Linked DNA regions of Nothobranchius furzeri. The protein of the gene in region 1 interacts with the protein of each later gene in a pairwise test. Links are inferred from orthologs where the notes say so. Each region holds a gene or a part of one and is shown on either strand. Other genes may lie near its edges.

Region 1 (4,195 bases):
AGACGACAACTCAAACCCAGACCAGATGTCAAGCCTGCGTAATTATGGATGTCATTAATATTCATATTTCAGCTCTAAACTACCACAAAACTCTACATAATTAAAGCAATTGTTGGAATTATTTTGTTCAATCTGCTTTTAGTGCATGCTCGCATTTTGTAAAGAACAATAAAAGAAAAACTTTCTCCTTTTCTCAAAGACTCACACGAGTCTCGATGTTTTAAAGGCTAAATACAATACCGTTAACATCTGTACACCCGCAGATAAACAAAATCCATCTCATCACAGTTGAGGGTAGGGACGCCAACTTCCTCTCCTTTGCCGAATGGTGAGGAAGCACGTGGAAAGAATAATGGTAGGTCAAAACAAACCAGCTAACAGGTGTCCTTTTCCTTCTTGATAGTTGCAACATAGTCAAAGTTTGAGTGAGAGTACGTTCCACACAGCGTCCAGCCATACTCACGTCTGTCGTGGAGTCTGGCGATGACGATCCCGCTGCCTCCTCTGGCCGTCAGCACGAAGCCAGCCTTGATGACGGAGATGATGGCCAAACCTTCAGCCTTTGCGATGACATGAGCTACAACAGAACAAGTCTGCCTTTGAAAGATTGTTTATAAGAGGTCAAAGTTTACTCGGTTAGTAGAGTACAGCTCCTTACGGGGGATGAGTTTGTCCGGGCCAACCCTGTTGGTGATCTGGGTGAATTCCCTTAAGATCTTGGCTGCTTTCTTGGCCTCAGACTTCAGGTTGGATGGGATGGGGTTACTCACTGAAACCAGGAAACATGTTTGTGTTTAAAAGTTGTCTTTACCTCTGAGACCCAAAGACTCTACAGCTAAATAAAATTGAGGAGAAGTGTTAATTCTGATGGGTGACTCATGTTTGGGTTCTTTGTTCTCTTTATTAAAGAGCAAGTCACCCCCAAATCACATTTTTTTTGCTGATAAACTATATAAACGAGTGTCTAATCATGCTACAGGCACGTGTAGTCAATAATTTGGCAGTTCAGTGCATCTTGGTTAAAATTCAAATATTCTGCCTAAAACTGTCAGTGTTGCACCGTCGTCAGGGAAAAATTCTGCACTGTATTTGAATTTAAACCTGCCACCGCTATTGGCTAAGAGGTATGCTATGATGTCATCTGGTATATTATGATGTCATAATTCCATTGTGAGCCTGTGTGTGTTTGTATTTGTTAGCGGCTCCGCCCTCTCGGTCTGCCAAGCAACAGCATTTGTTGCATTTTTCAAACATGAAGTGGGAGTGAAGTACGTTTCTTGTAGGGGGTGACTTGCTCTTTAACAATAAAATAATCAAAATATCAATTTTAATTCCCTGAAAAAACTTAGCATCAGCTATAATAAATATGGCTGATTTGTTGAATGTTACCATGGCGTTCTCCTGTCTGTAATCTGTTTTAAAGACAACCTGTGATGAATGGGAGAGTTGAGTGTTGGTTTGGGAGTGAGTGAGCAGAGATGATCCAACCTGCTGCTGTAGCACATTCCTGTCACGGCGACACATCCACGTCCTCCACAGGAACAAGGGGATTCAGCTGTCATCACTAAACCACCGACTTGGTTTAAGTTTGTTTTTATGCCATTTGTAATCGATTTATATCAGAGCGTGTCAAAATTTAACCTTATTGAAAAAGGAAATCTAAATTATACGGTTTAAGTTTGAATTGAAAGGGTCTTCATGTCCAAGAGGAATGGAGCCCAGCTGATCTGATCTAATGTTGGATCTCATGATCCAGAGGATCTGTCATCAGATTTGAAATCATGTTAAATGACTCCACTAGTAACATTGTGTAGGTCAGTGGTAGACTACTTCTTTCCTTGAGACTCGGTGTTCAGCATGTTTTAGTCGTTTCCCTGCTCCAACAAGGTTGATCTACCTGCTCAGTAGCTCACCAAGCTCTGCAGAAGCCTGATAGGCCTGCTGATTTAAACCAGGTGTGTTGTAGCAGGTCTAACGAAAACATGCTACATACCGGCCCTGGGGGAGGGAGTTTACACCTGACATAGTTGGTGTTTGTTGATGCTGGGCAGCAGCAGCAGCCATCTTGAATCAGGAGAACCCCCTCCTGTAACTCAGGACGACCTTTTTACACCTTCAGACATGAAGCATGATGCCGATTCTGTAAAGGGTTTGTTGTTAAACGATTTACGAATAAAAATGATAAGTAAATAAAACATACAAATCATTTTATGCCTGATCTGGTGTTCTAGGTGCATCCTGCTGTGTGAAAAGTAACATCTGACCCCTTAAAGAACCCAAACCTCGTTATTTAGGCCTAAACACCCTTAAATCAGTGTACTCTGACACTTTAGGGCCAGGAGTGGGGAACCCTGGTCCTCGAGGGCCGGTATCCTGCATGTCTTTGCTCCAACCCTTCTGATTCAGGGGTTGATTCACATGTTCTGCAGCTTTTCAGGCTCCGCGGAAGCTTGTTAATCACCTGCTGATTGAAATCAGGTGGGATGATGCTGGGTTGAAATTAAAATATGCTGGATAGCGGCCCACGATGGACCAGGGTTCCCCACACCTGCTTTAGGTTCATTCTGCTGGTTAACGTGAGTTATTCCAGCAGGCCTGACCACACTCGCAGGTGTAATGGAGAACAGGTGGAACCTGAAATCAGAGCCACCGGACACCGAGCGAAACCACCAGAACACAAAGAAAGAACCAGCTTCAGGTTTGAATGTGTCGCACTTTCAGGTTTAACTTACTTTTCTTTCTTCGGTGGTCGTTTACCTGCCGACAGGTGAGCTTCTCGCTGCTTTTCACTTCCGCCTCACCTGACAACAGCAGCCGGAAATCACGCAACTGTCCACAGGTGTGCACGTAAAGCTGACAAGTGCCGCGCGCGCATGCTCACGTAGCTGGTGGAGTGTTGATTTTCTGTCAGCTGGGCGCGTTCCCGAGTCTGTTTGCGGGTTCCTGTCAGAGTTGTTTTTTCCTGAGTTCAGTCTGACAGGCGCACGGATCACACCCAACCTTTCTTTTATAATCGATTCATTATCTGAACCGCTTCATGCTCAGTAGGGATGCAGGCGGCTGTCCACGGTGTCTATCTCCAGCAGTCATCAGCTGAGCGGTGGGGGACACTCTGGACAGGTCTCCCGTCCATCACAGAGACCGACACACACTCACTGTGTGTTAAACTAACATTAAAACAGCTTTAATAAACTGTTAAAATACGACTTTAAGGAAACTTTTATCAACATTAATTAATATTTTACTGTCATTTAAAAGCTGTTTAGTACCTGAACGAATCTGAAAAACAGTAAACTAATAAGATGTGAGTTTTCAGGACCTTACTCCCATGTTTTAATCATTTCTACCAGCTCCTCTCCTTGAATAGCTTCCCTAGATAAACATCTGACCGCAGCCATCAGTCTCTCTGATGTGTTTCCATTCATGTGAGACCACCCAGACTCCAGAACCAGGGTGATGGTGTAGAAACAGACACGCAGAGCCAGGGTGGGACATGCTCTCTGAAAAGCTGGGTCTTTTCTTGACCGGGATGACCCCATATAGCGCTTGGTAGGCCATTGTCTTCTAAATCAGAGCCTGTTTATCTTCCAGTCTTCTCTGACTCCTGAAGTCCACCTGACTAACCCGGGTCTCCGAGTATGCTGGTCTATCACAAGTCCACATTGTCCTCCAGTGTATACCAGTTCCAAAAGGCCCCCCTTTCAAGATCTCCACCTCATAATTAACTATAGAACTTCAGGAACATATTTGAACCAGTCCAGACGAGTTGGCATCTCTTCTGTCTGAGGTACTTATATTCTCTGTAATATGTTTATGTTTGAGTTTGTAGTTGAAGCTATATGTAGAGTGTTTGACCCGTTGTGGTTCTGGTGTATGGTTTTATCTCTTTCTTATTCACATCTTTGCTTCTTTTTGTTATATTTGAGTTTCTTATGTGTTTAAGACCAGAAGAACCTTAGCCTGGCCAGCCTCTGTGCAGAATTAAACAGAGAGAGTCTGGCTGGCCAGGCTAGAAGAACCTGTCAGTCCAAATAAACCCATCCTTTGCAATCTGCAGACGTACATCATCTGGTTCAGCCCATCCCGCATTGATCCGTTTCTTTAGAACATCTCTGGTTCTGGTGGAACACTCTGTTTACATCACAGAGAAACAGCCTGCAGCGTTTGAGCAAACACACCACGGCACGGCTGGTCT
Region 2 (4,329 bases), on another chromosome or scaffold:
TTTAAAAGAGTCATGTGACATTGTACATTGCTTTATTAAAGCAGACTCCTGTCATCTGTTACCATGGCAACACAAGGAACTACTAATCACTTTAACCAAGTCTCATAGGAATGAATATAAAAAGCTGAATATTGAGCCATTAACAGACTCCTGTTTTTGATCTTTTTGAACTGTCTGTACTTAAAACTAGAAACAAGTTCAATTTGATTGGCCATCATAAGGTGGGAAAGTGCCCCACTCCCTTCCAGCTCCCTGATTGGTTGAGAGAGGTCTGTCATCTTCTGGCTAAATGGAATTACACACCCATGCATGTGATACATCAAATCGATTGGCTTGGCCTAAGGAATCCATCCATCCACATATAAATCCATACATGCTTCCAACCATCCATCCATCCATCCATCCATCCATCCATCCATCCAATAAACCATCTAACATCCATCCAACAATCCATTTGTTATTTCATTCATCCAACCATTCATCCATCCCATATCAAATCTGAACACATGTTAATCTATCAGTTTCAGATATCAGCAAATATTTCTAAATTCACAGTTCAGCCAATTGTAAAAATGTACCCGTTAAACTATTCTCATTCAAATGCCAGCTGTTTAACGTTTCAAATTTTGAGTTTTTAATAAATGTTCAAAGATTAAAGTTTTCTGCTGTTTAGCATTTTTTTATCCATTCTTCACCTATATTCTGAGCTTTATTACACTTGTTGGTGATTTTTGCTTCTAAATCTTGAAATACATTCAGCTCATTTTGACAGTTTAGCTTTGTTTCAGCTTCAGTTCAGCTGTTCAACAGCTTCAGCAATCAGTTTCTGAATTCAGCATATGATGCTAATTTCACAGTTCAGCTAAATGTAAAAATTAAACTGTTAAACTAGTGCTACTGAAATAACAGGTGTTTAGACGTTTTAGCTGTCCAGTTTTTTAAACAATGTTCAGAGATTTCAGTTTTCTGCTGTTTAGGATTGTTTTCTTGATTCTTCACTTACTTTTTGTGCTTTATTTGCTTCTTGGTGCTTTTTGCTTTCACATATTTCACTACATTCAGCTCATTTACCAGTGTAGCTTAGTTTCAGCTTCAGTTCAGCTGTTCAACAACTTCAACAATCAGTTACCAAATTTAGCATGAGCTGCTAATTTCACAGTTCAGCTAAATGCAAAGATTAAACTGTTAAACGTGTACAACTGAAATAACAGGTGTTTAGACCTCGACAGACTGGTACATCACCTGCATCACTGCAGATGCAGCACCAATCGACCTGTCGATCTCACATCTCCAGCTTTCCCTCACTCGTGAACAAGACCCCGAGATACTTAAACTCCTCCACTTGAGGCATGACCTCGTCTCTGACCTCTTTAAAAACGCTGGTCCAAGCAGTGAAGTCGTGTGACTTAATGACTTTGTCCTTTTGCAATTCAAGCTGTTGCTTTAATAATTACTCATCATGTCTAAAACAACAAAGGACGAGACTTAACCTGAACAGTGACGAAGCAGCGCTGATACTTCCTGAACAGCCACATTCCAGCTCCTCAGATTGGTCGAGTAAGCACAAGAGGAGAGAAATGTAATAAGGCCGTCCCTTTTTTCTTTGTGTGTGTGTGTGTGTGTGTGTGTGGGGGGTGGGGTGGGGGGGGTTGTTACAGCTGCTTTCAGGTTTTTGTTAATCACACTTAAAGGAGCCACGAGGAAGAGCTCTTGAAGGGAACAAGGTTTACCCACCATGGATTTTCTTATCTTCAAACTTCTACACAGGTAGGAGATGGGAGAGTTTTATCGGTATGGTGTTGGAGTCGGGGTTGAATGTTAGCTCTGATCAGGCTGCAGCTGATCACACAAGTCTGCTTGTTTTTATCAGACTGTGTGTGTACAGGAAAAGGGTTTCACGTGTCAAATCTCATCAAAGGTGGTCAAAACAGGGCTCTTGTGTCAGCTCTGGCCTAAACAAGCTGTTAAACTTTAACCAGCAGAACCATCGCTCTAACAGGCAACAGGTGTGACAGGTGGATTTCTGACGTCATCGTTTCAGGCTGCAGGTAGAAACAACAATGCTGCTTTGATCTCCCAGTATTCCATAAAAATGTGAAGACCCTCAAATCCATGTTGGACATAGATTATTAGTCACTTTGCTTCTTTTGATTATAATACAAGGAAATCAGGTCACTGCCAAATATTCCATGAAATAATGTGAATGTACAGAATGTGTTTCAAATCCTCCTTGAAAGTCATCTGACTGGTTGGTCCTGCTGGTTTCTGAGCTGCTGTTGACGTTCTGGTTTGGACTGGAAGCAGTCCGGTAGAATGGGTTGTGACCGAAACCAGCTGCTGCTGGGTGTTGGTTTTAGTTGCACCCTTAGAAAGTACCTGATGTGTGTGATAGAGCTTTGGTCACTGATTTCAATAATGAGTGATGAATTTGACTCAAAAGTTGTGTTGAAACCATAAAAAGTCACATCCTCTGAGAGTCAGAGTTGGAATTTAAAGCTTGTCATATTTGCGTTGTGTATTCTGGGGGAACCTGCAGCTCATCTGAAGAGGCTAGTGGCATGCATCTGTCTCAGTTTTAGATTTAAAGTAACTCCAGGAAAAAGGTGGTTCAGCAGTCTAAATCTTTGCTAAGGGTGCATGGGATTTCTGCTGCAGAATGACAGAATTATATGAGGTTGGGCTGACTGAGTCAGCTTTATTCAGCTGACTCCTAAACCTGTAAGTTACTGAGGACCTGTGTGATTTCAGCACCATAAATAGATAAATCTGCTTGAGAAATCTGTTTCAGTTAATGGTGTGTTAGCTAACACTAGCATGTTTACGGCTGTTTTCTGGGTGATTTCATTCCAACTCTTCAGGGAAATGAACATTTATTTTCACTAAACTAAAAATAATTCCAATTCAGATGGATCAGAGGGGTTCTGGGTCTGTTTTTCTGCCATTAGGACAGGTGGTTGAGCAGAACCTGTCCAAGGACGGCTCGGAGACGGTTTCTTTGTCCTGCAGAAATGCCTGAAGCTGTAATCCAGAGAGGTCAAAAGGACAGTTTAGAGTAAATAAAGTAGGGCTGGAAATGCAACATGTCAGTTCCCATATGTATTCATTGTATGTTTATTTATTTTTATTTTAGAAGTTTCCAGATTTTCTTATTGAAACAAGGCAAATGAGTTGAAACCACCACAACCATTCTTCATCATATTTAACAGAAACCTTGCTCAGCAGACACAACCCAGGAAGTCATGCTGAAACTCTGACTTTAAAAGTGAAATGAAGCCTTAATAATAATTTTGTTGAAAAAACTGCTTTTCTTTTTATTTTCTCCTTGCAGATGTTCCTGAAAAACCTTCAGACTACCTTTAGACTTCAGGTAAGAGCTTTCGCCTTCTCTTTGTCACAGAACAGCACCATTATTGCATTTACACTGTTTTCATTCATGTTTCCCAATCCTTGTAAATACTCTGCTGCCATTTTTTAAACCACACAGTATTTTCATATTTCAATTGATAGGTAATTATTAATTTACCCCATATTACCTTAAAGGACGACACACACACAGAGAGAGAGAGAGTAGATTGATTATTCGTAATGTCCATGAGCGCAAATCAACGTGCGAGAAGCTGGATGCAGAAATCCCCTCCATGGAGCTAACCAGCCCCCACTCTGCTCCAGCCTCAGCTCACCAGCTCTGCATGCCCACATCCTCCACCAAAATATTAGGTAATCAAATGTGGGGTAATATTTAATCTCCATACCCCTGGAACCTGAAATAAACACACATGACAAAAAGGGAGATATATTACCCTGAGTCCCCAAAATAATGGAGAGTTAATGCAGAGGAACCCCCTCCGAGGCTGACCCCACGTCACTCCCCTGTGTCCTCAGTTTCCCAGTGGCTTTATTCAGCAAAGGATGGAGAAGGCGGGGCCTTCTCAGGTTACAGAGGTACAGAGTCCCATCACCCCCCCCCCCCCCACACACACACAAAGGAAGATTCACAAACCAAGCAAAATGAACATTTAATAAAAATGCCTAACATCAATGTTTTTGATTTTATTTTTATGGAGACACATCATGCAAAACTCACTTTTTACGTGTGCTGTCACGTGGGTTTCTGCCTCTATAAATGCTCTAAATGTGAAAACATCTGTCTATCCGTTTGTCTGTCAGTGTTTGGTTTTAGGAATTATGTATCTAAAACGAGCCATTACAAAAAGTCTCCATTTGTGATGTCACAAACGGGGACATTAGAAAAATTGTAAGCACATTTTTATTTATATGGTTCTCATCACAGACAGAATCACAAAGTGCTTCACATAGATCCAAAACCAA
Region 3 (4,484 bases), on another chromosome or scaffold:
CAACAATTTCTACAGCATTAAAAAAAATAAAGACGATAAAGATTATAGGCTAAAGGGAATTTATTTTCCCCCCTTCTCTGGCAGCTGTTCATCACTTCACCTGCTTCCTGGCCTCATTAGGTAACATTGTTGCACTGAGGGACCCTTCTGGCCACTTACAGAAGAAAGCAGGTCACATTCTCTTCTTCCTGCTCGACTTTAGACGAAGAAAAAGTCAAGAGAAGATTTGCTGAAGTGCTCTGATGTAGCCGGCCCAGCGGTTGTCAAGGTAATGAGTCAAAAGGGTTTTGTAATGCAGCCTCCGTTTGTCATTCTGAAGTTCAGATTAGGTTTGCACTCACCGAACCCCCCCCCCCCCCGTCCTTCTTGTATTCATCGTCGTGCTCCTCTTCATCTACTCCGTCTATCTGTCTCTCCAAGCAGCCGGATGTCAAATAACCTGAAACTAGTTCACAATCATCAGAATCAAAATCTTGTAACTCCTTTTCTTCTTCTACAGCGGTTTGCATCCTCCACGATGATGACAGGATGAATGCTATCATTACCCACAAATGCTGAAAGGATGAATTCATGTATTACTCTACTGTGAAATGAGAAGGTAGCTTTATATAACTGATGATTATTTATCAGACCAGTGATTAAATCCTTTCTGAGAAATGTTAGCTCTGGTCCATGAACTATTTGATTGGCTTCTGCGTGGATCCATAACCAGTTCGAATTAAATCTTTATTTAATTTGTTACCAACAGCCTCGCAAACACTGAAAGCTTGAGCCACAGATGATCAGCAGGGTCTCTCATGTCAGACCTTTGCTGATTTGTCTTCCTGTTTATCTTTAAATAAAACTTTCAGAATGTGTTCATTTATTGTCTCCTCCTATACTTCCTTCATTTTAAGCATTGCAGATATGGATGCAGGACGGAAAACCTGTAACTCTAAAAATGAATCCAATGTTTTAAATTATTCTCGAGTTTATTAGCAGTTATGTCGTTACGTAACTAGATCCCAACAGGAATCGGGAGGAATGTTGATAGTTCAGTCCTACATCTTGTTTATTTAGAGCTCAAAGCATGCTGTGAGCATGTGATTTTATCTTCTGTCTTTATTGCCGACCTCCCCAACATGCTCTTCTGTTTGGACCGGTCCTCCTGCCGCGGCTGCGAGAGTGTGTGTGGTCAGGTTGAATTTGTGGCCAGACTCTGTTGCACAAAATTCCTTTTCATTCGCTTGGAACAGAAAGAAAGAGGGCGAACAAAAACGGGGCGAACGTAAGCGTGAAAGAGTGAGCCCAAGGGGAGAAAAGGGGGAGACGAGAGGGTAAAAAAAAAAATCCAGGAGACATTTGTAGTTGAGTGGAGGAGCACAGACAATCCCTGGCGCATGTAAACCTCCCCTTTGCCATCTCTTTTTGTTCCATTCACTGCCTGCCACCCTCCTCTCTCACTGCCCCAGCCTGTGGCCTCTCTGCTGGACTTGGGGTGGGGGGGTTTCTCCCTATATAAAAGCCCTGTTTGTCCCCTGAATGAGCTTATTCCCTATCATGGACAGCCTTAGAGCACAGTCCTCATACAGGAGACGTTTTGGGCCGCAGAGCTCAAGCAGCTCAGGAGGTAAAATAGGTGGACTATCTTCCCACCGCCTCTCCTGGCATGGCGCCCCTCGAAGCATCACCCACTCCAGCCCCGTCTCCCGGGTCTCCCTGGGCTCCTCCAGCACGGCCTTGCTGCTGGGCAGCCCCGTTGACCGGCTGGACTTCTCAGCTGACTCCTTGTTGAAGGCCCAGTACAAAGAAACTCGTACCAACGAGAAGATGGAGATGATGGGCCTGAACGACCGCTTTGCCAGCTACATAGAGAAGGTGCGGCTTTTGGAGCAGCAGAACAAAGTTCTGGTGGCAGAACTGAACCAGCTGAAGGGGAAGGAGCCTAGCCGCCTGGGGGACATCTACCAGATGGAGCTGAGAGATCTACGACGGCAGGTGGACGATCTCACCAATGGCAAGGCTCGTCTGGAGATAGAGAGGGACAACCTGTCTGCAGACCTGGGCACGCTCAAGCAGAGGTAGGAGAGAACGGTCCCAAAGTAGACCTGGGCCTTTGTGTGTCTTGTGTGCTCGCTGTCCTATTGATGCTTCACAGAAATAATGATGGGATTAAAACTTTTCCCCTAGTCTTTTCTTCCCATCAGCTTATAAATCCAGGAGAAAACCGGAACAGCCCCCAAAAAAGTCTCAGTGCTTCAAACTACATAAAGAGGAGTAATTTGACCTTGTGAAGAATGTTTTTGTTAATTCCTGTAAATACACCTGTCATGTCTGTATTTACGTAGCGCTTCTGTTTACATGTGTTTGTGGTTGGTTGGAATGCAGAGCGCTGTGGTCTGCCTGGGCTTTACTCCTCTATCCCTCTTTACAAACGTGATCCTGACTGAACCCTCGCTGCCATTCAGTCAGTGTGGAGGAATGAAGCAGCACAATGGTGGCGCTCCACAAAGGGAACAGAATGCCAGGCAGATGTAGCTTTCCTCTCTTTCTCCAAAGCACAAAGTCACCACCGCTGGTTATCCGGCTCCTTTTCTCCACATCCACCATCACGCCTCATGTCAGCTTTTTCATTTTGAGACAGGCCAATAGAAAGTCTCAGGGTGGAAACTGGAGGGTTTTTTTTTTTTTTGCCCTCTGACCAAGCAGCTGCTGGTCCTGTGAGAGATTGCAGGATGAATAGGGATGCTGCTGCTTCAGGGGTTAAAGGTCACCTTTTTTAAAATTCGTGCTGCTCTTTCTGTTAGCAACCTCTGCATGAAGCTGCATGATGTCACTCTACGTTTCATTTGCTTCTAGTGGGTAGGATCAGTCTGTGTGCTGCGCTGACACGGATTCTCTCTCTCTCTGTGTGTGTGTGTGTGTGTGTGTGTGTGTGTGTGTGTGTGTGTGTGTGTGTGTGTTCCATCCCGTGGGAAAGGTCTCCTCCGGCTGTTAGATTAGACTGGAAGTGTAATGATGCGTAAGCCGCTGCTCTTTCAGCTGAGTCCTGCCACTCCTCTGCAGCTCAGTAGAAGACAAAACAAAAATCTGAACACATTTTTAAAATACGTTTAATTTTTCTTAATTAAACTTTAGCTAACTAAACTTTGCGCAGGAGTTTGTTTTTTCTGACCCAAGGACCCCAGACATTGTGCTCTCATTTGTGATATATATATATATATATATATATATATATATATATATATATATATATATATATATATATATATATATATATATATATATATATACATATATACATATCAAATGTTTCAGAAATATTTTAGTGTAATTTAATTCCTCCTGGCTGGGAACTCTCAGTAAGAAGCTCTTCACATTTTTCTTGACTCAGGCTGCAGGATGAAATGGGCCTCCGACAGGAAGCAGAGAACAGCTTGAACGCCTTCAGACAGGTGGAAATATTAGTAATATTAAAAAATCTTTAAAATATTGACAATCTCAATGTTGTTTGCTGTCATCCTGCGATGTTTCTCATTATTCACACAGGATGTGGATGAAGCAGCGCTCAGTCGGGTCCAGTTGGAGAGAAAGATCGAGGCCCTGCAGGATGAAATTAATTTCCTGAAGAAAATTCATGAAGAAGTATGAAGAAACGCTGAAGTTGGTCCAAAACAACTAGACAGATTTTAGCAAAATCACGACTTTTGCCACGTTTTTCTTCCAGGAGCTGCGTGAGCTGCAGGAGCAGATCATGGCCCAACAGGTCCACGTTGACGTGGATGTGTCAAAACCAGATTTAACTGCTGCTCTGAGAGACATCAGAGTTCAGTACGAGAATATGGCCACTTCAAACCTGCAGGAGACAGAGGACTGGTACCGATCCAAGGTCAAATATTTTACTTTTAAAGGAGGGATTTACTCATTTATTCAATACTTGTGCAGTGTTCTTTAGTGTAATTCAATGCCTTATGAGCCATAAAAAAAAATAAAGCTATGATGCTCCTGTTATGAGATGCAGATGTTTTCTGGTGCAGAGATGGACTGAAAACAGTAGAATTACTCATTACTATTATTGAATTGCACACGTCTTGCTTCTGATTGGCTAACAGAACATGTTCAGCCATGTCACTGTCACCAAAACACCCTCCGCTCGCTCTCCCTGCTGCAAAAAAAACAAGCCTTCCTGTGGACGGGCGCTTGCCAAGATGGGCGAGACCATGAATGCAAATTCATAGTGTGACATAGATGTGTGAGGATTTTAAAATCCTAGAGTTTCACCATCTATTTTCTATCAGAAGGTAATGCAGGAGATAGGTGTAGGAGACTATTTTCATGTTCACCCTGCATAAAAAACTCAAACTCAACTTTTAACTCATTCACTACCAATGACGACTAAAGTCACTGGCTTTTTTTAACGGGGCTTTGACGATAAACATCAGCTCTAAAGTATATTTTCACCTGTGTGTGTCACATGTCATGTGATCAGGAAGCAGACAATCAAT

What was found.
Region 2: the proteins of sh3yl1 (region 1) and sh3d19 interact in binary tests that used the Homo sapiens proteins (3 or more experiments, as listed by UniProt). The link is inferred for Nothobranchius furzeri from reciprocal best matches to the Homo sapiens genes SH3YL1 and SH3D19.
Region 3: the proteins of sh3yl1 (region 1) and gfap interact in binary tests that used the Homo sapiens proteins (3 or more experiments, as listed by UniProt). The two-hybrid records come from large-scale screens. The link is inferred for Nothobranchius furzeri from reciprocal best matches to the Homo sapiens genes SH3YL1 and GFAP.

The regions. Positions count from the first base shown.
Region 1 is NC_091743.1:82,703,650-82,707,844, forward strand, and holds the start of sh3yl1 (SH3 domain-containing YSC84-like protein 1), read right to left. Parts: upstream 2,875-4,195; 5' UTR 2,734-2,874; coding exon 2,733-2,733; intron 770-2,732; coding exon 659-769; intron 578-658; coding exon 464-577; intron 1-463.
Region 2 is NC_091747.1:80,371,476-80,375,804, reverse strand, and holds the start of sh3d19 (SH3 domain-containing protein 19), read left to right. Parts: upstream 1-1,349; coding exon 1,350-1,391; intron 1,392-1,691; coding exon 1,692-1,767; intron 1,768-2,945; coding exon 2,946-2,989; intron 2,990-3,328; coding exon 3,329-3,367; intron 3,368-3,617; coding exon 3,618-3,717; intron 3,718-3,882; coding exon 3,883-3,942; intron 3,943-4,329. UniProt on the Homo sapiens protein: May play a role in regulating A disintegrin and metalloproteases (ADAMs) in the signaling of EGFR-ligand shedding. May be involved in suppression of Ras-induced cellular transformation and Ras-mediated activation of ELK1.
Region 3 is NC_091745.1:10,095,817-10,100,300, forward strand, and holds the start of gfap (glial fibrillary acidic protein), read left to right. Parts: upstream 1-1,504; 5' UTR 1,505-1,521; coding exon 1,522-2,060; intron 2,061-3,373; coding exon 3,374-3,434; intron 3,435-3,528; coding exon 3,529-3,624; intron 3,625-3,706; coding exon 3,707-3,868; intron 3,869-4,484.